4 linked regions of the Canis lupus familiaris genome follow. The protein of the gene in region 2 interacts with the protein of the main gene of each other region in a pairwise test. Links are inferred from orthologs where the notes say so. Each region holds a gene or a part of one and is shown on either strand. Other genes may lie near its edges.

Evidence for each region.
Region 1: the proteins of USHBP1 (region 2) and SEC14-like protein 4 interact in binary tests that used the Homo sapiens proteins (3 or more experiments, as listed by UniProt). The two-hybrid records come from large-scale screens. The link is inferred for Canis lupus familiaris from reciprocal best matches to the Homo sapiens genes USHBP1 and SEC14L4.
Region 3: the proteins of USHBP1 (region 2) and MED4 interact in binary tests that used the Homo sapiens proteins (3 or more experiments, as listed by UniProt). The two-hybrid records come from large-scale screens. The link is inferred for Canis lupus familiaris from reciprocal best matches to the Homo sapiens genes USHBP1 and MED4.
Region 4: the proteins of USHBP1 (region 2) and CNNM3 interact in binary tests that used the Homo sapiens proteins (3 or more experiments, as listed by UniProt). The two-hybrid records come from large-scale screens. The link is inferred for Canis lupus familiaris from reciprocal best matches to the Homo sapiens genes USHBP1 and CNNM3.

Annotation. Positions count from the first base shown.
Region 1 is NC_049247.1:24,016,934-24,023,414, forward strand, and holds the start of SEC14-like protein 4, read right to left. Parts: upstream 3,806-6,481; 5' UTR 3,745-3,805; coding exon 3,691-3,744; intron 669-3,690; coding exon 593-668; intron 1-592. UniProt on the Homo sapiens protein: Probable hydrophobic ligand-binding protein; may play a role in the transport of hydrophobic ligands like tocopherol, squalene and phospholipids.
Region 2 is NC_049241.1:45,884,161-45,888,351, forward strand, and holds the start of USHBP1 (Usher syndrome type-1C protein-binding protein 1), read left to right. Parts: upstream 1-1,391; 5' UTR 1,392-1,528; intron 1,529-1,809; exon of another isoform or gene 1,810-1,867; 5' UTR 1,868-1,941; coding exon 1,942-1,995; intron 1,996-2,092; coding exon 2,093-2,241; intron 2,242-2,454; coding exon 2,455-2,893; intron 2,894-4,191.
Region 3 is NC_049243.1:3,360,627-3,367,087, reverse strand, and holds the start of MED4 (mediator of RNA polymerase II transcription subunit 4), read right to left. Parts: upstream 3,806-6,461; 5' UTR 3,778-3,805; coding exon 3,653-3,777; intron 1,181-3,652; coding exon 1,114-1,180; intron 1-1,113. UniProt on the Homo sapiens protein: Component of the Mediator complex, a coactivator involved in the regulated transcription of nearly all RNA polymerase II-dependent genes.
Region 4 is NC_049231.1:46,208,050-46,214,499, forward strand, and holds the start of CNNM3 (metal transporter CNNM3), read right to left. Parts: upstream 3,806-6,450; coding exon 3,462-3,805; intron 3,351-3,461; coding exon 2,425-3,350; intron 1-2,424. UniProt on the Homo sapiens protein: Probable metal transporter.

The DNA of each region.
Region 1 (6,481 bases), on a different chromosome or scaffold from region 2:
TGTGCACTTCCCAGCCCGGCTTCTGACTTCTGTCCTGATTCAAGTTCAACAACATACCATGGGGTGTGTTGAATTGGAATGAATTTCCCCCACCTTGGTTTCTGTTATTCTAATTTTACACTATTGTGGCAATTTCTGGAAGAAACTCCTTGTCTACCTTTAATGGCATCCATTTCCTGAAGTATTTGCTGGGCACCTGCTTGGGTGGCCAGGTTTCCTCAGGGGACCATACAGCCTTGCCTTCAAGGAACTGGAGACAGACCCACAGGCAAGTCCTGAAGAATATATTCAGGCCTATCTGACTCAAGGCCTGGCCAGGCCAGTCACCCTGAGACCTTCCCAGGTGTGAACTCCAAGCTCACCTCGACCATGTGCCCACCCAGTGCCAGGTATTACACCCTCTCATTTAACGCTCACAACAGTCCTTGGGGAGGTGGTCCCATCCCACTTTATAGATGAAGAAATTGAGGCTGGATGGGTTTTTTGTGCCCTGCTGATTTGGAGGGGAGCTCAGATTCCAAAGTCCCACCAGCTTCCCTGAAACTCTTCTTCCCTCTCTCCCCCTCTGCCTCCCTGACCCTGCCAGCCTCACCTCGGAGCCAGCGTAGGAGGAAGTACTCGTCGGCATTGGGCAGGGTGGGCAGCAGGTCCTGGAGTTTGTCCCGGAACTGAGGGGGAGATATAATGGTCAGTGGTGCTCCCATGATCCCTGGGCTCCCAACCCCACCCCGATCCTTCTTAAACTCAGCCTGTCAGTCCTTCCCAGGGACCCTGCAGGGTGGAAATCACACAGTTAGCAGCAGCTGCCTGGATCTTTTTGCCAACTGGGAATGGAGCACCCCACCACGGCAACCAGAGTTGGGTCCTTCTCAACTTTGGGGGTTCTCTGCCTCCCCAAGATCCTTATTCTATAGGTCTGAGGTGGGGCCCTGCCATCCTCATTTTTACAAAGATCGCTGGTGAATCTGATGCAGGCAAACCAGAACAATTTAGGAACCTTGCCCTTGATACTGGATCTTATGAGTCTAGATTTGAAAGCAAGTTACTGAACCACTCTGAGCTTCAGTTTCCTCATCTGTGTAGTGGGGATAAAGATAAATTTGTGCCAGTCAAAGGAGTGTGTACAGGTAAAGCACTTAGCATCAGTCTTAGCTTGCAGCAGGTGCCAGAAAAATGTGGGCACTCAGCAAATGTGGACTGCTCGGAGCTCCAGACAGGGGAGTCTTTGTGGAAACAACCCCAGGCAAAGGTCAGCAGGGAGGAACTGCAAGAGAAGCCAGGGATGCCGCATCAGGCCCGTCAAGACTGGGGAAAGAGAGGGGCTGACCTGCTGACGCAGGCTCTGCCCACTGGCAGAGTTTGGGAAAGCTGTTGAAAGTTTAGGTATGGGTCTGGGGCTCAGTTCTGGGAGAGAACTGTCCCCCACTTCAATGGGGACTAAGGGAGCAGAAGGCAAACCCTGGAGGGGTGGGTTTGTGGGAAACTGTGAATGAGAATTTAGGATTAGAAGTCATTGTTAGCAAAGCCAGAGGATGCTATCTTGACAGCCATCCACCAAACCTCCTTTAGCTTTATGGATGATGTTTAAAATAAGAATGTGGGGTCGCCTAGGTGACTCAGTGGTTGAGCATCTGCTTTTGGCTCAGGTCACGATGCTGGGGTCCTGGGATGGGCTCCCTGCTGGGAGCCTGCTTCTCCCTCTGCCTGTGTCTCTGCCTCTCTCTTTAAAAAAAAAAAAAAAAAAAAAAAAAGAATGTGTTCATGTATTGATCACATAATGAAAAACAAATAAAAAGACGAAAAATCTCCAGTGTCAACAACTAAGGTGAGCGAGAGCACCAGCTATCATCATCGCCCACCCAGTCCCAGCAGGCACAAGGATCAGTTGAGGAAGTTTTTAGGGGGAGTGACGGAGAGTCACAATAACCAAGAAATAATAATTCTGCACGCTCAGCCCCTTCAGATTACCAGAGTTCCTCCTGTGAACCTCTGGGATGTGCCCTGAGGCAGGAGAAGCAAGGGTCACATCCCTGCTTTGTGGATGTGGGAAGGGAGGCTGGGGTGCTGGAGGGTCTTCCCCATGGACAAAGTAAAAAAGCTACAAGGCCAGGAGGAGTCCACACCTTCCAGTCTCAAAGCCACCCCACCCTTGGGACGCACGTCAAGTAAAAGATAAGACCACTAAGCAGGTGCTGGGAAGGGTCCAGAGTAACTTAATGGAAAAAATATCTTAACAATGAGGCCATACTGGGGCACCTGGGCGGCTTGGTGGTTGAGCATCTGCCTTTGGCTCAGGTCGTGATCCCAGGGTCCTGGGATTGAGTCCCTCATTGGGCTCTCCCGAGGGAGCCTGCTCTTCCCTCTGCCTTTGTCTCTGCCTCTCTGTGTGTGTCTCGGGAATAAATAAATAGAATCTTAAAAAAAAAAAAAAATCAAAACAAACAAACAAAAAAGAACAATGAGGCCAAATGGAGAAAGCAGCCTCTGGCAGCCCAACCAAGGTGGTTAAAACTAGGCTAAGGTAAAAAACTTAGAAGGAAATGCTCCTAGGCATGGTTGTCTAGATCTCTGGGACCACGGGTGACTTCTTTTTCCTACTTTCCTTTTTCTCCCTAATTTTTAAAACAACTAGCATTCATTTCTATTAAATAATGGGAAAAAATAAGAATAAACTCTTTTCACATTGTTTAAAGCTCTTTGACCCACAAGCATTTCCATCATAATTCACCCCCAAAGGCCAGGTGTCCAGCCCCTCCCAAGAGCCTAGTGTCAGGGCTCCCCTGAGGCCTCTGCCAGTGGGGAGGGAGAGGGTTAACCAGGGGACTCCCCCTCCTGCTTCTCTTGGGGACCCCTCCTTCAGCTCAAGACTCTCTGCTCCTGGAACCTCATCCTTTACCTGGAAATTCACCCAGCCCCCCCCCCCCCCCTTCACCTGGGACCCTTCTCTCCTTCACCAGGAATTCATCCAGGGTCCTCCTCCATGGGGGGTCTTCATTCCTCCCTGGAGGATCCTCCCCAGGGTGGGAGCCATAAAAGAAACCATAGTCTCCCCAAGTCCGAAACTTGCCCTTCTTTGGCCCAAAGTGTAAGCCAGGTAGGTCCGTCACCCCACTCCCCTAACGTAAAGTCACAGTTTCCAGGCCCTGCCATCTCCTAATCAAATTAATGCTGTGGCACCTAAGACCTGAATATGTCCCCCTTCCCCAGGGTGTGACACTCTCAGCGGCAGCTTGACGGACTGCCTTGAAATCCCCCAAACCCCTCCATTCCTCTTTAATGGAAACACCAGCGATGGGGAGATGGCTTCCCCCCTGGGGAGTCGGAAAGCCACAAAGACACCAAACAAACAGATGTTGCAATCCGGGCAGGAGATCTGCGGGGCGGTGTGCCCAAGGCTGCCGGGGACGGCAGCACCACCCCACCCCCAAAACCAGGGGACAAGGGCCGGGGACAAGGGCCGCAGAGGGCGCAGAGGGCGGGAGGGGAAAGCGGGATTTGGCCCCAGGGCAGCCCAGGGAAGGGTTCAAGGCCAGTGTCCCATACACGTCTGCCTCAGCAACTGGGCGCAGGGGGTGCGCGGGACAGGAGGCTCGCAAGGACCCCTTTTCCATCCAAACGCCGGGGCTCCAGCCCAGGTGGGCAGCGCCAGGCAGCTCCCCCCTCCCGAGCCTCCCGGCCGAAGCCCCTCACCGTGGCCAGCGCCTCCTGCTGCGGGGGGCTCAGGTCCCCGACTCGGCCGCTCATGGTGCCGCGGGCCGGCGGGGGGGCGCGGGGGTGCCAGGAGGGCGCCGGCCCGCCAGGCCCGCAGCCGCCGCGTGGTTTTGTGCGGGGCTCAGATGTCGGCCCCGCCCCAAGCCGAGAGCGCCGCCCCGCGCGTCCCGCCCCCCACCCCGGGGTGTCCGGCGGGCGGTGGACCGGGCGCGCCCCACGCGGGGCAGGGAGCCCGGAGAGCGGACTCGAGGGGAGGCCGCAGGCGCCGCCACCTCCAGGCCGCCTCGTGCGGGGGCTCGGACGGGGTCCTGAGTGGAGGGGAGGGCGGGCGGGCCTGCGGACCTGCGGGCAGCTTCGGGGAGCACACCCGGCTCTCCTCCCCAGCAAGCTGGAGGACCTGGGGCTTCCTTTTAAAACTTTCTTTTTTTTTTTTTTTTTTAAGATTTTATTTATTTATTCATGAGAGACACAGCGAGAGGCAGAGACAGGCAAAGGGAGGAGCAGGCTCCATGCAGGGAGCCCGACGTGGGACTCGATCATCACGTCCTGGGTTGAAGGCAGGCGCTAAACCGCTGAGCCACCCGGGCTGCCCAAGGAACTGGGGCTTCCTAAACCAGACTCCACCCTCTAGATGTGTCCGGGAGTTTCTGCCCGAGGGGCCCCAACCTCCCTGCCCTGGCCTTGACCACTGGCTAGGAGCGCCCTATCCGTGCTCACAAGCTGATGGAGGCCTTTATGTGCAAAATGGTTCCAGCTCCAAGATGGTCAGAAGACTAGATAAGATGATCCGCCATGGGTTAGCCTGGCATTCCACTTAAGTGTGCAATGTTAGGACTTTTTTTTTTTAAAGATTTTATTTATTATTTATTCATGAGAGACACACAGAGAGAGAGAGGCAGAGACACAGGCAGAGGGAGAAGCAGGCTCCATGCGGGGAGCCCGACGTGGGACACGATCCCGGGTCTCCAGGATGAGGACTATTGTTCCATAATAATTACTATGATTGATGCCTTCACCAGAACAGGGAGGGGCTGCATAGGTGGAAATTCTGGGATGGCCCCTCTGGTAGCACCTGGGTAGAATCTATAGCCTGAAGGCCAGGGCATGGGAGGGGACAGTAGTCACTGGAAGCCCCGGTGGGGTGGTGGAAGGCTCAGGAGACCCCGGGTGGTGGGTGGCTGACACAGGTGGTCAGGATGACATCCGGGAATCAGGCAGGGTTCGCTGAGAAAGGTGAGAAAACACAGGTTGGCAGGGCAGGAATTTTCAAGAGACAGCAGGTGGAAGGTGAAAGTGAAGGAGGAGGTAAATTAGGCCATCAGAACATTCCCCCCTCTGCCCTCCCTCTGAGTTGAACAAATTCTAGATCTCTGCTGTAGCTCTGGTGGCCATGAGCTAGCTACATGTGGCTGCTGAGTATTGAAACTGTGGCTGGTCACTAGCACGAATGCAGATGTGCTCTAAGAGTAAAATACATGCCAACTTTCCAAGACTTAATACTCCTCAAATGAAGTATTTCATTAATTTCTTATATTGATTACATGTTGCAACAATTTTTTATATATTGGGAAAAATAAGATATATTATTAAAATTGATTTCATCTGTTTCTTTTTACTTTTTTATGCTTTAGAATTTCTTTAATGAATAAGCTTTATTTTTAAGGGCTGTTTTATTTTTTTATTTTCTTTCAAAGATTTTATTTATTTATTTATTCATGAGAGACACAGAGAGAGAGAGGGAGAGAGGCAGAGACATAGGCAGAGAGAGAAGCAGGCTCCATGCAGGGAGCTCGAAGTGGGACTCGATCCCGGGGCTCCAGGATCCCGCCCTGGGCCGAAGGCAGGTGCTCAACCCCTGAGCCACCCAGGCATCCCTAAAGGCAGTTTTAGAATCATAGCAAAATTGAGCAGGAAGTATAGGGGTGTCGCACATACCTTGTTCCTCCCACCACACACACAGCCTCCCCCTCTATGGACATTCTCCACCAGAGTGGGACATTTGTTACAACTGATGAACCTACATTGACACGTCATTATCACCCAAGGCTCATAGTTTACATTAGAGTTCACTTCTGGTGGCATGTTCTATGGATTTGGACAAATATACAATGACATATATTCACCACTGTGGTATCATACAGAATAGTTCTATTATTTTTATTAAAAATCCTCTGTGCTCTATTCCTTTTACTTTCTAAAAAATGTGGCTACTAGAAATTTAAAATTACATATGTGGCTCACATTTGTGACTTGCATTGTATTTCATTTGGACAACACTGCCCTAGAGGGATTTAAAATCTTAATTAAAAAAAAAATTTAGGGATCCCTGGGTGGCGCAGCGGTTTGGCGCCTGCCTTTGGCCCAGGACACGATGCTGGAGACCCGGGATCGAATCCCACGTCGGGTTCCCAGTGCATGGAGCCTGCTTCTCCCTCTGCCTGTGTCTCTGCCTCTCTCTCTCTCTCTCTCTCTGTGTGACTATCATAAATAAATAAAAATTTTTAAAAATTGTAGGGCTCCTGAGTTGCTCAGTGATTGAGCATCTCTTTGCCTTTGGCTCAGATCATGATCCCAGGGTCCTGGGATCGAGTCCCACGTCAGGCTCCCCACAGGGAGACTGATTCTCTCTCTGCTGGTGTCTCTGCCTCTCTCTGTGTCTCTCATGAACAAATAAATAAAATCTTTTTAAAAGAAATGTAAAAATCTAAAAGAAAGTGAAATTGACACCATGTCTCTGGAAGGGCATGTCTTCGCTTGAAAGCAATGACAG
Region 2 (4,191 bases):
AAAGAAGGAATCGCCTTGGCAAAGGTCCTGAGACTTGCAAGAGCCTTGGAGCGATGGAACCTTTAAGAGGTTAATATGGCTGGAGCAGGGGCGCCTGGGTGGCTCAGTGGTTGAGCATCTGCCTTCAGCTCAGGTGGTGGTCCCAGGATGCTGGGATCAAGTTTCACATCAGGCTCTCCGCGGGGAGCCTACTTCTCCCTCCGCCTTGTTTCTGCCTCTGTGTCTCTCATGAATAAATAAATAAAATCTTTTTTTAAAAAAATGGCTGGAGCAGAGGCTAAGAGTGTAGATTTCAATGTGCCTGGGTGCCCCCAAGTCAGAGAATTGCAACTTATTTCCTTACCAGTTTTGGGGACGCAGAAGCAGGAAGACTCAGCCTCCTCTGTCTGTCAGCGGAATGAGGAAGATTCAGGCTACTCCAGGCTCTGCGCAGTTTAAACCAAGTGTAGGGGCACCTGGGAGGTTCAGTGGTTGAGCGGCTGCCTTCAGCTCAGGTCCTGATCCCGAGGGATCCTGGGATTGAGTCCTGCTTCGGGCTCCCGGCAGGGAGCCTGCTTCTCCCTCTGCCTATGTCTCTGCCTCTCTCTGTGTCTCTCATGAATAAATAAAATCTTTAAAAAATAATAAATAAAAAATAAGCCAAGTGCAGAAACAAGGAAAGGGTTACAGCATAACCAAAGGCCCTGGGATGTGAGAATTGTGAACCTTCACCTGTTCACAGAGGGGTCATCATGGCTAAAGCATGGAGTATACATGGGTGCAGACAGCAGGCATTATTTTTAAGGGCCTCGAATGCCGGGTAGAAGAGCTTGAAATGTTTCCCAAGGGCAATGGGGAGTCATGGAGGGTGTGTGAGCAGAAGAGGTGAACAATGAGGTCTCTGTCTCTGGGGCCTGGGAGGGGAAGGGAGTCAAGGGGTGGGTGGCTGTAGAGTCCACGGAGAGAGAGGGGCTGGCATCCCGGTAGAGGGGAGAGGGTTGGGCTGTTATGGAGGGAGATGACGAGGCCCTTTAGAGATGGATGCAGGAAAAATGGGCAGGATGTAGGGGCGATCTGTGCCCTGAGGAATCCAGGAGAAGCAGCAGCTGGCAGAGGAAGCAGAGATGGGAGGGCCGGAGAGGCAGCGAACAAGAGTGGTGTGTTACAATTCAGTTCTTGGATGGTGCTCAGTCATGTGCAAGTTGCTTGTTAAAATTCCCATGACACTGTAGACAGATCCTATAATTAAAGCCCCCCCCCCCCATTTTACAGATAAGGAAACTGAGGCTCAGAGGCGGAAGAGACATGAGATTGGAGGCTGGGGCAAGGAAGGACCGACAGGTCAGGAGCTGGACATGTGTGTCCCACCGGGACTGGAGGAAGCTGATGTCCTTGAGGAGGAAATAGCACAATAACAAGTCACATGACCAGGGGAGGGGGCTTCCTGTTTCCCGGCCTCTCCCAAGCCAGCCTTGGCCAGCCCGGGGCCTAAGCAAGCAGTGGCCAGAGCTACCCCAAGAGTGTCCAGGGATTTGGGCTGCTGACCAAGGTATTCCTAGAGGTACAGAGGAGTAGCATTAGAGCAGGCTGAGGGGACCCAACCCCAAGATTGGGGCCTCCGACTCAAGAGGACCCTGGGGAGGAGAGGTGATTCTTGAAGTCCTCGAGCCAGGTCCAGATTGGGGACCGAGGGGAGCACAGAGGTAGTGAAAGATAAAGGAGGCAAAAGACAAGGGGAGGTGGGAACAAACTTGTGAGGTAGTGAGCTGCCTGTCAGGAGGGGTATTCAAATGTGCCAGCTCAACACTGGTAATTCAAGATCCCTCCCAGCGGGAGGAGATCGATGCTCATTTCATAGAAGAAGGTATTAAGGCTGTCATTCGCCCAGACCAACAAAGACAAGAGCCGAGATCAGGCTGCGGCTTTCGGAAAAAGAATCAGAGGACTGAATTCTGGACAGCAATGAGTGCCCGGGCCACGCGACCCCGAAGCCGGCGAGGGAGGCACGCGCCACCTGTAAGTGCCCCCTTCCCTGCCGCATCCAGCTCTTTGGGGTCACTCACCCCCTCGCCCCCGGCCTGGCTCGGAGCTTGGCCCTGTGGGTCATTTTCAGGGGGAGCTGGATCCCGTGGCGGAGAGTTCAGAGGAGGCTGAGGCAGCCAGCGGGAGCTCTGAGCTGGGCCCTGTGCCATCTCAGGAGAGCTGCGAGCCGAGGCTGCAGGGGCCAGAGGCAGAGGCCAGTGGGCAGGGCCTTGGGAACAGGTAAGGTCCCCTCCGTCTGGGCTCCCACTCCGGCCCTGGTGTGTCTTTCCTCCCCACAGATCTACCTGTGTTCCTCCCTTGCTCACACACACGCCGTAGCTTCCCACTGCCCTCCTTGCCCAACTTTCAAGGCCCCGGATAATGCACCCTCTGTGAGCCAGCCACCCCAGATGACCCCATTTCCAGAACCTTCTGTCTCTCACTTCACCACAGGACCAACAAAGAGGCTGAGGGGGACTCTAGCAGAGGACTGGCCCCATCTCCCGAGGGACCCCGCAAGCCTGCAGAGGAAGGCCACCAGGCCAGAGATGTAGCTCCACAGGATGGGGAGACTGTCCCCCCCAGGCCTGAAGCCTCTGACGTGTTTCAGGTTCTCCAGCATGCTCTGAGCTCCCTGGAGGCGGCGGCGGCTGCCTGGCGCCGCCGGCCCCCCAGCTGTCCTGGGCCCGGGGAGGCAGAGGACAGAAGTGAGGTGGGACCAAGGCCCTGCTTGGAGCAGGAGGGGGCAAGTGGTTGCCAGAGGGAGGCAGCCAGCCTGGCAGAGAGGAATGACTGGCTACGATTGGCCTTGGGCAGCCGAGAGGAGGAGCTGATTCGCACGCAGGCCTCCCTGCAGGCCATCCAGGGGGAGAAGGAGATGCTGCAGAGAGAGGTGAGGGTCTCGACGTATTGTGCTCTACCTCTGAGGGTTCTCTGTCTAAGGGGGAGGCGGGCCTGGCATAGGCAACCTTCCATTGTTTGTTCATTAGAAAAACTCTTACGGAGGGACGCCTGGGTGGCTCAGTGGTTGACTTGAGTTGAGCCTTTGACTCAGGTCATGATCCCAGGGTCCTGAGATCGAGTCCCACATCAGGTTCCCCACAGGGAGCCTGCCTCTCTCTCTGTGTCTCCTCTGAATAAATAAATAAAATCTAAAAAAAGAAAGAGAAAAACTTTTATGGAGCGTTGACTGCTGCAGAGCCCTGAACAAAGGTGCCTTGCCTTCTTAGATAAGGTGGTCAGAGATGCCCCTTGAGGAGGTGACACTTGAGCCAGGAGGTAAGGGAGGAGCCATGCAAGGATCTGGGGAAAGAGCATGCCAGGCGGAGAAGGAGCTCCCTTCCAGAGGTGGGAGTGTGAGTCAGGGAACAGTGAGCAAGCCAGTGTGGGGGTGAGGGGAGGGCAGGTTAGTGATGGGGGCAGATTTACACGGTCTGTGGGCTTCTGGGAGTTGGGCTTTGGCCCTGAGCCTGGTGGGCTCCTGGGGGGTTCCCCCTCGCCCCCCCACCCTCGCCCTCCCGCGGCAGAAAGGGGCGGGACCTGGTGCCGCGGTCACAGGCGCCCTCTGGTAGGCATGGGAGGAACAGCCGGCGGATCCGCGAGGCACTGGTCCAGACACCAGATGGTGGAAACTGTGGAGGTGGCACAAAGTGGGCAGATTCTGGGTGGTGTCGAAGGTGGAGCTGGCAGGTTTGGGTGTGAAAGCCAGAGAAGGGTTGAGGACAAGTCCTGGTTTGGGGGCCTGCGGGACTGGGAGCCAGAAATGCAGGACCAGGAGCTGTTGGGACCCTAATGAGTTCAAGAAACCCCTGAGCCACCCATGTAGGACCATCAAAGACACAGTTGTGGGGTCAGAATCCAGAGCTCAGGGGAGATGTCAGGACAAGAGAAACACATCCCGACCTCTTTAACATGTGGATGGAATCTAAAGCCATGTGGCTGAAGGAGATGGGGGAACAGGCCCTCATCTTGGGCAGGCCAAGGTGGCAAGATATGGGGCCACCAGAGCCCAGCCTAAGGGGTGGGGCCCACTTCCTGGCTGGGAAAGATGATCCCCGCTCCACATTCCTCTCCTCACCCCCACCCACATTCCTCTCCTCACCCCCACTGCCTCTGGCACCCACCACTCTGTTCTCTATAACTGTGAGTTCAATTTTTCGTTTTGTTTTATCTTAGATCCCAAATATAAGT
Region 3 (6,461 bases), on a different chromosome or scaffold from region 2:
TTAATTTTACATGTATTTATCAATAAAGTATCTGAGACTGGCATTCCTCTATTAGCATTTTTCTCTATAAGCTTTTCCTAAAAACAAACAACATACTAAAAACAACTTTAATCTCCCCCAAAGTCCCAGCTTTTACTACTTGTAGCGTATCTAATTCCCCGTCTCCACCTGAAGGGATTAATCGTTGAAGAAAACAAGTTTTATGATACTTCTCTATTATCAGTCAATTGAATTTCTCTGCCCTCAAAACATATCATAAAATAAAACTAAGATAATAATAGGGCAGAGAGGAGGGAGAAGAGATCTATGAGATGTCTCCTGTTACTAAAAAGGTTAATCTTTCCCAGCTGTTTTCTTTTAAAAAAACTTTTTTTTTTTTTTTTTAAATTACAGTAGAAAACACATAAAATGACATTTGCCCTCTTAACTTTAAAAAGTTTTTGGATCATTCCTGGGTGGCTTAGTGGCTGAGTGTCTGCCTTCAGCTCAGGCTGTGATCCCGGGGTCCTGGGATCGAGTCCCACATCGGGCTCCCCACAGAGGACCTACTTCTCCCTCTGCCTGTGTCTCTCATGAGTAAATAAATAATACAAATTAATTAATTTAAAAAAGGTTTTGGATCAGAAAAAAAAATCTGCTCACCGTAGAAAATTACAAAGCACAGAAAGGAATAAAGAAAATAAAAACATGTAAATTTAACCTCCACAAAATAACTTCTGTTAACAGTTGTATGCTCTTTAATTTCTATTACTTCTCAAGTTGCATTAGGGGAACCAGGTCTATATAATAAAAGGTAGTTTATGACAGCATTAACTTTTTTTATTTCAAATATTGTTTTAACCTCCATTTAACAAGTTTATTAGTTGGTTAATTCAAAAGACAAAAACGAATAAATGTGTAACTAGAAGAAAAAACAATACTGCTAAACCTTTAGACTTTTTTCTTCTCAAGCAGTGTTACCCTATGTAAGTGATTCGAAGTATCAATTTAAAAATTGTAATCTATAATTTAACAGAATCCAATCTTCCTGTTCTCACACAAAGTAAATGTAAATAGGGAAATTGCACAAATAATGGGGATTTCTTGTTTGTAATATAAAAAGAAACCACTTACCTGGTTTTCCTCATCAGGCGGCAACAACTTTTGGTTTCTTGAAATTGCCAGCATTTCTATAAGTTCTCTAAAAAAGAAAAACAAAAACATCTTTGCAAAATACAACAGAAGCTTTATTAACTGATCTCTACCTAACTGACTTGCTAGATTCATGGCACCCACAGCATGCTGAGTATTCAGAGCCCCTGCCCAGTGACCGTGCGCTTGGGCTCTCATCAGCTAAGCGGTACTCTCTCACCAAGACTCAGTTATGTCTGTTACCAGATCCAGTTATGCAAGTTTTACTTTACTAGTATAGTTAAATATATTAAATATCCATTTCATAAATACCAACGAAATATGACTGTCAACAGAAAAGAGTAATTTCCATAAAAACCTAAACTGAATACTTGGGAAAGACTCAACAGCTGCCTGCAAAGAACTGCAAAGTCATGAAAATTCAGCAAGTCTACCCTAAGACTGCTTGATAAGCATTTAAGTTTATTTACTTTTTTTTTTTTTAAAGTAATCTCTATGCCCAAGGTGGGGCTCAAATTCACAACCCATAGATCAAGTCGCATACTCTACTGCCTGAGCCAGTCAGGCACCCCTCATTTCACTTTAACGAAACACACTAGAAATTGGTGGACAAGGCATTATGGGTGGTTTATGCAAGAAAACCCCCTAAATTAAGGAGTAGATGAATCATTTTTTAAATGATTTTCTATGTGAACTGAAATTTTTAATTAACCAAACAGGTATCAACTAAGGGATTCTAATGTATAATAAAGTCCTATCTTTCTGGAATGCTTATTTACTAGACATGCCAATTTTCCTTTATGAAAACTAGTATAAAGAGGAGTATAAAATATGTATCAGGTAATATCCTGATACACTAGTTTCAAACTTGCTGACAGATGGGACTCCAGAAATTATGCAAGAGGTACAGATGCACAATTAGCAACAGGACACCACCAGTCAGCCCCAGTAAAGCCTGTACCTTCTCACTGGCCGCCAGACTATTTTCACCTTCATATTTCCATCTTCCTTACTGCCAGCCTCAAACTATTTTTCTGGATGGTGCCAACTGGACCCAACCTTCCCCACTTTGAGGTTCTCATACCATTATGCATGCACTAGCTAGCTAATTAATGAATAAAGTGGATATGGCAATGGAAAGTCTTCATTCACCCACTGATTAAACATTTAAGTTTCCACTGTGTGCCAGGCACTTTCTGGATGCCTAGCTTATGAAAGTGAACAAAGGAATTTAAATTATAATACAGAAGAGAAAAACCAAGAAAGCAGGTAAATCAAACCAGAGTTAGAAGAAGGGCTGGGAAGAAACTGAAGCAGTGTTAGAGTGTGTCAGTGAGTTGTCTGGCCACTCACACTGGTGGAGTCAGGGAGGGCTTCTATAAGTGAGAAAAGCCGGGTTCAGGGGCCCAAAGATGGGTTTGAGGAAGGGTGGCCAGGACACAGCAGTCAGTACCGAGGAGCAGGATACACAATGAGGACGGGTCTGGAGGGCAGGCGGGCCAGGCTGTGTGAGGGCCTCACAGGTCATGGTAAAGAATCAGCATTTCATTCCAGGTACAATGGAAAGCGACTGGATCATTTTAACTTTTTTAAAAAGATTTTTTTATTTTGAGAGAGAAAAAAAAAATGAAGGAGGGGGAGGCAGAGGAAGGAGCGGATTCAGGGCTCAATCCAGGACCCTGCACCCACCTGAGCCCAAGGTGGACGCCCCACTGACTGAGCAACCCAGGCGCCCCACTGATGCATCATTTTAAATGGAAATGACATGACCTGATTTATGTTTTTAAGCAATTGCTAAGCTACCTGGAAAATGGATTTTAAGAGGAGTAGAATGGAAATCAAGTTAAGTGGCTTCTGTAGACAAAGGATGGCATCTGCTTTGACTAGGTCCTAGCCGCTGGGACACAGTCATGGAAATAGGTGACAGCTATCTCTGAGTGCCGGGGTCCGGGGTGTCCCTGCAGGTCACCGAGCGCCCCCCAGGTCCCCCCTCCCCCATCACCGAGTGTCAGGTCCCGGAGTGTCCCTGCAGGTACCGAGCGCCCCCCCAGATCCCCAGTCCCCCCATCTCCGAGTGTCAGGTCCCGGGTGTCCCTGCAGGTACCGAGCGCCCTCCCAGGTCCCCCCTCCCCCCATCTCCCAGTGCCGGGGTCCCGGGGTGTCCCTGCAGGTCACTGAGCGCTCCCCCAGGTCCCCCCTCCCCCATCACCGAGTGTCAGGTCCCGGAGTGTCCCTGCAGGTACCGAGCGCCCCCCCACGTCCCCCCTCCCCCATCTCCCAGTGTCAGGTCCCGGGTGTCCCTGCAGGTCACCGAGCGCCCCCCCAGGTCCCCCCTCCCCCCATCTCCCAGTGTCAGGGTCCCGGGGTCACCGCCGCTATCAAGCGTCCCCCGGGGGCTGTGCGGGGGGAAGAGGCCGCGTCCGGGTCTCGTGGGGCTGCGACCTCGAGGCCACGACCCCGCCGCGGTCTCCGGAGCGCCGCCTCCCCGACTCCAGCCAGGCCGCCCGCCCGACGCCCCTACCTCGACAAGACCTCCAGGTCCTCCAGCGCAGACAGCAGCCGCTCCCGCGTGCTGTTCCCGCCCGCCGCGCCCGCGCCGCCCCCCGGCCGCTCCTTCTCCTTCTCCCCACCCGAGGCCGCCGCCATGCTGCTCGCGGGCCGGAAGCCGGAGACTGCGCAGACCCCGGCGCGCGGAGGCGGGCTCCGGAAGCGGAAGTGAGGGCCACCGAGGCGGGGCGGGGGGGGCGCGGAGCAGAGGCGGGGCCGCAGCGCCCCCTACGTGCCTGGCGGTGCACTGCGGGCGGCGGCGCTGTGCAGCCCTGGGAGCAGGCTCGGGGCGCTCAGGGCTCAAGCACCAATGGGAGGGGTTTTAAGCCTGTCGGGAAATTTGCATAACAACTTACATCTTGTATCAGTTTCTTTTTTCTTTTTTTAGGATTTTATTTACAGAGGGAGAAGCAGGCTGCCTGCAGGGAGCCCGATGTGGGACTCGAACCCGTGACCCGGGGTCACGACCTGGGCCGGAGGCAGGTGCTCCACCGCTGAGCTCCCCAGATGCCCCCTTCTATCAGTTTCTTTGTGAGATGGGCTGGTCTCAGTATTAACCGTCTTTAGTGTGCATCCCTACAGTGCTAGCCCCACCCTCCTGTTTGGCCTCTCCTAGGGGTTGTAAGCACCATAGGACAAGAGCCATCATCTGCCTCTTTTTCTTTATGGTTGTAAAACACACATAACCTAAAACGGACCGTGTTAACCATGGCTAAGTGTAGGGTCAGGGGCCTTAAGCATAGTCATGTGGTTATGCTACTTTCACCATCATCCATTACCTCTTTCCATCTTGCAGAACTGGGACTGTGTCCACTGAACAACAAGTCCCCCTTCCTTCCTGCCCCAGCCCCTGACAGCCACCGTTCTACCCTCTGTCTCCAAATTTTGACTACTCTAGGGACCTCATATAAATGAAATCATACAATATTCGTCTTTTGGGGACTGTGTCATTTGACTTAGTGTAATGTCTCCACTCCCATCCCTGTGTTAGCACGTGTCAGAATTTCCCTCCTTTTTAAGGCCGGACAATATTCCCTAACGTATAGCCATCGCATTGTGCTTATCCATTCATTCATCCGCACACATTGGGGTTGCTTCTACGGCTTCACAATCCATCTTTATAACCATCTATCTCCCAACAAAGTGTTTTGCTCACTGATCAAGATGCCTGTTGGAAGTGAATGAGTAAATATAGCAGGTAAGAGGTAGTGTATGAAAATGGTTTAAATAATCAATACAACACAGATTCCAAATGAAAGCCCAAACTCCGCCTCAACTCACTTTTCCTGGAGAGAGCAATGTAGTTGGAAACTCTCCCTATCAGGAAAACCCAAAGTTGCAACAGTACTGGGGATGCGGGTTCTGTATGGGGCCAAGCTGTGATTTTCAAAGATGAGATGGAGAGATGTCACCTACAGACAACAGCTTGGAGTGTCTCCTTCATTCTGTCATCCTGACCTCTGGCCTGTTCTCTTGGAGGTGCTTAGCCTGCTTCCTGCTGGGTACCCAGACTTGAGGATTTCCTCAGGGACTCATGCGAAAACAAAACAAAACCATTCATAGCAACTGCTATACAATCCAGAATGCTGATTTATTCATTTACAATAAAAAATATTAGTGCCAAGCACAATTTTCCTTGTGGACAAACTTATACAGGAAGACCAATTATCATCAGAATGTGGCTTGGTAAACCTGGATTATAACAAATGAATATAGATTTTTAAAAAAAAAATGCAACCATCAGGATTTTTTTTTTTTTTTTTTTTAACCATCAGGATTTGTATCCACATAGCATACGGATGTTTGTAGTAAAGAGATTGGAATATCTGTGTCCCCAGACCATGCAAGAGACCTGAGGACACCTTTTGTTTTCCAACCATTCCCTACTTCTGCTCTTGGCTAAACCCTTCTCTAAATATGGTCCATTCTCAGACAATGGAATACATTAGATTTAAGCTTCCTAATGACCCTTGTATTCCAAGCATACCTGCCAGCAGCTCTGGTCAGTGATTTCTTAAGTTTCTGAGGGGCTCAACTGTAGTCTGTGTTGGTTTTCTTCTCATAGGTTCATCTTGGGCATGATTCTGGTGCAGGGAGTGGGGAGATCCTATTAGTGTAGCTTCCACATACAATCAGTTAAAACCCTAATCACTTAAAAATGACCAATTATAGGTCCTACTTTGCAGGCATGGAGGGTTAGTAGATGGACAGTATATGTGTCTTGTGAATGCCAGACCTCTTCAGATTCATCACAAAGTCATATGCGTATTGAACGTTGTCCATAGACTGACAAGAAATAACATTTCCTACAGGCATACTCTATGGCAAACTGCAGATTCTGGTGTGATAAAGAAAATACGAATTATTTTATAACTGATAGGAATATCATATATATTTTTAATAGTTAATAAATAACTCAAGGTAACTCCGAATTTAGTAGTTTCCCAATCTATCGATTCAAAAGGGTAAGTACTTCCTTCTTGTGAAATTTTACGTATTTAACATGCCAGACACTGGTCTAAGCACTTAAAAAAAATGAACTCCATGAATTTTCACAACACCTTCTGGAGGTGAGTATTGTTATTATCTCTATGTTACAGATAACGAAGCTGAGGAGGCAGAGGAATTCAGAGACTTGCCCCAAATCATACAGCTGATAAGCGCCAAAGCTGGGATCTGAACAGAGTCTGGCTCCAAGGTCTGTGCTCTTAGCCACTGGTTATTTATCCTGTCTTCTCTCTTAATTTTTTTATTTTTATTTTTTATGAACTTTATTTAATAGT
Region 4 (6,450 bases), on a different chromosome or scaffold from region 2:
CCCAGAACCCCATGATCATGACCTGAACTGAAGGCCACTCAACCACTGAGCCACCCAGGTGCCTCTCAACTTGCCCATCTTAAAACCAAAGAGCAGGGACACCTGGGTGGCTCGACGGTTGGGCCTCTGCCTTTGGCTCAGGGTGTGATCCCAGATTCCTGGGATCAGGTCCCTCACTGGGCTCCCCACATGGATCCTGCTTCTTCCTCTGCCTGTGTCTCTGCCTCTCTGTGTGTCTCTCTCCTGAATAAATAAAATCTTTAAGAAAAATAAAAATAAAAATAAAAATAAAAATAAAAAAAGAGCAGAAGACCTCCTCCCCTGCCAGTCCTCTCCCTGTCACTGCTCTCTGGCTTCCACTCTGCAGCCATACTTCCAGGAAGGCCCATCTATGTCAGCTGTCACATCCCGTTCACTCCATCACCCCACACTGGAACACCAAATCTGCTCTTACAAAGATCAAGGGTATCCTGGCTGCTGGATCCAAATGACATGATGTTGGCCTCTGCTGATCATTTGCCTTCCCTTGCTTAAGTGGTCTCTTTCCTTAGCTTCTAGGACATTCTGAACTTCCAAGCTCTCCTCAGCAACTCTCCTCTGCTACCCTCTACCCCTTATATGCTTGTGCCCTCAGGGGTTTGGGCTTTTTGCACCACTTCTGTGGCTTAAGGGACCACTACTATACCACCAACCAAATCTTTATCTTCATTGGGCCGCAGCATAGACAAATTTCAATGTCCAGAACAAATTCACAGGTGCCACCCTCCCCCACCATTATGACCTCCTTTCTCTGTAGGTGCTCTGCCTCAGGGAAGAACAACACCCCAAGCAAGAAACCCAGGCCTCACCCTTAGCTCCTCCTGCTCGCTCCACAGCTCCTCAGCCAACCACAGAGCCCTCTCAATTCCACCTCCCAAAGTTGTCCTGGATCTCCTTTCCCGGCCCACTGCACATCTTCGTTCAGCCTTTGATCATTTCTTAGCTGGACCCCCTACTCACTGTTCTCCATATCAGTCAGTGCTCTGCTCAAAGTCAGCGCCCTGGAGGATCCAGTCCAGCCATCCCAGAGTCTCAAGCTGGGATGTGACAGGGGCGGGCTGGAACCCACCTCTGCACACTCCAGGGCTGGCAGTCCTGGCCACCAGGCCACAAGAACCTCTACTGCCTCGAGTACTACAATGGCCCAGATGGAGTACTCACCACCAGAGATCAGAGACCCCACCTGGGCATCCCCTCCCCACAGAGGAACTGCATTACCACTTTCTGGGAGAAAGAGCCACGAGCACCCAAGAGATGCTCTAGCAAGCTGTCAGAGCTGCACAGCAAAGCCTCCCCACTCAATCCTCAGGTACAGTAAGGATAGTAACTGCCCAACTTTTCAATACCACGCCCTGACTAATTATACTCTTGTGGCCTGGGGCCAGCAGACTTCACAGCTGCCAGGAAGATCAGGGGATCTGCTCTCTTCCCAGCCTCACATTATGCAGCCTTTAGGGTCAAGCCCATCCAGAGCCCTGGGGTGTCCCCCGTCTTCATCCTGTAGGAGTGTAGGAGAAGCATGGCTGGTGGACAAAGAGCAGCCACGCTCTGGGGAGCACACCCACGCCTTAGGATGGAGAGGACTACAGAGGAACCCATACCTTCACACTTGGAGGTTGGGTCTCCATGTTTACCCATGTGACCTTAGAGTTGCTCAGATAAACCAAGGTAAAAGGAGGTGAACTGTGGAGTTAAGGGAGACGCCAAAAGATCTCAGTCTTAGAAAAGAGGAAGTTAAAAAAAAAGAAAAGAAAAAAAAAGAGAAGAGAAGAGAAGAGAAGAGAAGAGAAGAGAAGAGAAAGAGAAAAGAAAAGAAAAGAAAAGAAAAGAAAAGAAAAGAAAAGAAAAGAAAAGAGGGAGACTAAATCATCCATAAGGTTGCTTCTGGTGAAATCAAAGTGGAAGTTTCTTCCACACCTGCAGAAAATCAGGCATCATCCCTTCTTCTGTTATCAGCAAGGCAGCAGCCCATCAGAGACCTTAAAACCATGATCGCTGGAAACTTCACAGGCCCAGCTGTTTTGACACTGTGTGCGCAGGTGATAACATCCAGGTGTCTGAAGACTATCCTCCTTTCTATTTAAGAGTATAGGCCTGTTACAAAGCCAAAGCCCACAAAAATGACCCTGAAGCTGGTAAGTCAAATGGACACGGCTCCCCAAATCAGGCCTACCAGGAAAAGGGGGATTTTGCTTTCTACGGCGCCCTGAAGGACAGCCTTTAGGTATCTCAAGAGGCCACTGAGCCCTGTGAGGCCATCATCTCAAAGGGCCCTGGGAGGGAAGGATGGGACCCTTTCCCTCGAGGCTTCCATAACTCCCTCCCCCCTTTCTTCCAGCGGAGGGCGCTGGCATTCGTGTCCCCTCCCCGATGTCCCGCAGTTACCTCGTTTGAACTCCTCCAGGACGGCGTCCAGCTTGGTGTCGTTGAAGACGAAGTGGAGCGGATGGTTGTAAAAGCGGGTGATGGTGCTGAGCGGCGTGCAGTCTTCGGGATCCACGAAGGCCAAGTCCTTGAGGTACAGCATGTCCACGATGTTGGAGCGCTCCTCCTCGTACACCGGGATGCGCGTGTGGCCGCTCTGCATGATGCTGGCCAGGACGCCGAAGTCCAGCACGGCGCCGGCGTCCAGCATGAAGCAGTCCTCGAGCGGCGTGAGCACATCCTCCACGGTCCGACAGCGCAGCACGCCCTTGCTGAGGTCGCTGTAGGGGTCGCCGCCGCCGCGGGCCAGCTCCAGCACGCGCTCGCGCAGCCGCCCGGGCCGCGCCGCCAGCTCCAGCAGCTGGCCCACGGGCAGCGCCACCGGCAGGGTCAGCAGCACGGCCAGGCGGCTGAGCAGCAGCGCGCGCGGCGCCAGCGCCAGCGCCCAGCGCCCGCTCACGGCGGCCGGCACCACCTCGCCCACGAGGAACACGAGCCCCGCGCTGCCCAGCACGGCGGGCACGGCGCGCTGGCCGGCCGCGCGGTACAGCAGCACCGCCAGCGCCGCCTGCGCCAGGCTGGCCAGCAGCAACAGCGCGCCCAGGGCGCAGCCGGCCCAGCGCCGCGCGGGCTCCAGGCGCCGCGCCGCCGCACGCTCGGCCTCCGTGCCGCTCTCGCGCAGCACCTGCACCTCGGCGGGCGCCAGCGCCAGCGCGCTCAGCTGCAGGCCCCGCGCCAGCGCCGCCAGCGCCAGCAGCCCCGCCGCCCCCAGGCCCAGCGCCCAGGGCGGCGCCGCCTCCTCCGCGGCCGCGCCGCCCGGCTCCACGCGCACGGCCAGCAGCGCCGAATGCGGGCGCACGGCCTCGGCGCGCAGGCGCAGCAGCGCGCTCCACTCGCCCGCGGGGGCCGCCGCCTCCCGGGCCGCCGAGCCGCCCGGCTCCCCGCGCACCGCCAGCAGCCCCGAGTGCGGGCGCGGGGCCTCGGCGCGCAGGCGCAGCAGCGCACGCCACTCGCCCGCGGGGGCCGCCGCCGCCGCCTCCTCCTCCTCCCCGGGCGTCGCGGCCGGCCCGCCCTCGGGGCAGCCCGCCCCCTCGGGGGCCACCCAGGACCAGGAGCTGTTGGCCAAGCCCGAGCCGAAGAGGCGCAGGCGGAAGGCGGCCTCCGGGGCGGCCCGCGCCTCTCCCCCGCGCGCCCACCCCGCGCCCGCGTCTCCGTCTTCCTCCAGACAGACGCCCAGCACTCGCGGGCCCGGCGCGGCCTCCCCGGCGGCGACGCCCAGGCACAGCGCGGCGAGCAACCAGCCTAGACGAGCCGCCGCCGCCGCCGCCGCCGCCGCCGCCATCGCCCGCTGCCCCCTCTCGGCCTCCCGCGCAGCCTACCCCTCCGCCTCCCCCGGCCCAATGGTCGCCGGCCTTGGCGCCTCCTCCGCCAATAGGCGGCGGGCGAGGGCGGGCCTCAGGGTCGGACTAGGCTGCGCCGGGAGTAAACAAGCGGCGGCGCGATCCCGGGGCGGGCCGGGGGCGTGGGGCGTGGGGCGTGGGGCTGCGGGCGCCGCGGGGCTCGGCCGCGGCTCCCGGGGCAGGGGGGTGGCCGGCGACCTGGGCGTCCCGTTCCCGCGGGCCCTCGGCGCGCCCCGAGGCCGCACCTGCGCTCTGGGAAGCCGGGGCGCGGAGCCAGAGACGCCAGTGTGTGGCGGCCGCACCGTTTCTTAGGGAAGGGCTCCGCGCACCGCTGACCTAGGGGCCCCGACGTCGGGAAGCTCAAGCTTCTTAGGGCTGATTGCGCCCGACTGTGCTCTGTGGGGCTGGGGACGTGAGACCTAGCCCTTTGCCTTCAAGGACCTTGCATTCCTGCCAGAGAGAACGACGGTAATTCTGTAAACCCACGAAGTCGCTACCTCATTGGATCCTCAAACTACTTTTACAGGAGAAAAGTGAAGCGTGCCTTAGGGTGGATGCAGGATCCAACACGACCTACTTACTACCCCGGTCACCTTCCCAGCCACGTTAGCAGAGGGGCAGCGCGGTCAAAAATTCCTGTTACCGGTCACTCTACTTCTAGCAGATAATCCTTGGGAAAATATCTTCTCGGGAACAAGAACTATTCAACAGGATCCTTACTAGAGAGTTATTTTAGAAGGCAATATGGTTCCTTGACGGTATGGAATGCTTTTCACCCGTTGTGCATGATCTTTATATGACCGGAAGGAGACAAACTGAACAAGTCTTTTCTACAAGGATCCAGATTGTTTTTGTATATTTTCTTTACATTTTTATGTATTTTCAAATTTCCTAACAAAAGTAGACTTTGATAAGGGTGCACATCTACATGTCATTTAAAATTTTCCTAAGGATTCTACAGAAACACATTTGCTAGGTCATGGAAATAGTAAGAAAAAGTGTAGGCACTGTGACCACAATTAAGTAAAACGGGTGGAAGGCAACATGCAAAAATGAGCAGACCCATTGTGGATAATCAAAAGAAAAAATACTTTGTGAAAAACTCCTCAAAGGATGGTGAGAATGTCTCTTCAACGTTGTAAATTCAGCGCTGTGACTAGGCCAACCACGTCTCCATGTTTTTGGTTTTTATTATCTAGAGGGTGCTATGCCTCACTTACGAGCCAGCAGAAGCAATGACACTACTGAGCCTTTCCACTGGATCAGCATGCCTCCTTTGAAGAAAAAAAATTATGGATTCACACTTCTGTCTCCCAAGTCCACATAAAACGCTGACACTGAAATAGAATGGATGACATACTTGAAAGTTATGTGCCTTAAAATTTATTAATTAGCAAAGAGGGACGCCTGGGTGGTTCAGTGGTTGAGCATCTGCCTTTGGCTCAGGGTGTGATCCTGGATTCCCCGGATCGAGTCCCACATCAGGCTCCCTGGATGGAGCCTGCTTCTCCCTCTGACTGTGTCACTGCCTCTCTTTCTGTGTCTCTCATGAGTAAATAAATAAAATCTTTAAAAAAAAAAAAAGATAAATACAAATCCTCATTTTCATATCTGACAAACGCTATGGAGAAAAACAAAGCAAGATAAATGGACAGAGGGACTGGGGCCACGCTGTTTTAGATGCGCTGACCGGGGAAGTCTTCTCCAAGGAGATGACATTTGAACGGAAGCTTAGATGAAGTGAGGGGGTGAGCCTCACAAAGACTTGGGAGAAGAGTGTTCCATAGGGTGGAGACAGGAAATCCAAAGGTCCTGGCATGACTGTCTCCCTCAGGGACTCTTCCTCACTACACTTACTGAGGGGTTGGTGGCACCTGGCACGTAGCAGGACCTGACACGTGTGTGGAACATATGGGCGGATGAAATTTATTCTACCTATATACACCAGCTTTTGCATCTGTGATTTTATCTGAAATGTTCTTTTTTTTCCTGAAGTGTATCCTTTTTTAAAGCACTAGCCACCATCTGTCTGCTCTGGTAAGCCTGGCTAGCCTGGGCCCCTGGTCGCAGCACACTTGACTACACACCACAGCCACACAGTACAGTACATATGGGCACCACATGAGTCTGCACACAGATACCTCAGGAGTGAATGCAGTGGGGTGACTCTCAGAGGGGCTCTTCAGGGGTTGAGCTGTCCAACTTTGAGGCCACCACCAGTTCATGAGCAAGGACAAAAAGGCAATTGCATGTTATGAAACAATGCAATCCTCCTTTTGAATCAAGCTCCTTTCTCCTTCAGCCCCCGGGGGAGAGAGGAGGGGCTGTGTGCCCACTCTAACCACCTCCTCCAGTAGCTGCAGGCAGAAGACTATGGTGTCCATTTTTACAAGATTCCTCATTGTGGCAATGGAGCACACTTGCCCTGTACAGCTAACAGCAGCTGCTGTGACAACAACCTTGATTATATAGATTTTGTAGATCTCATTTCTGCTTCCTTTCTATTGTTAAACAGTCCCAGAATACTTGCCCCTTGCCCTGTCATAGGAGACAGCCGACCACAGCTACTACCTCTATGATAGGTACC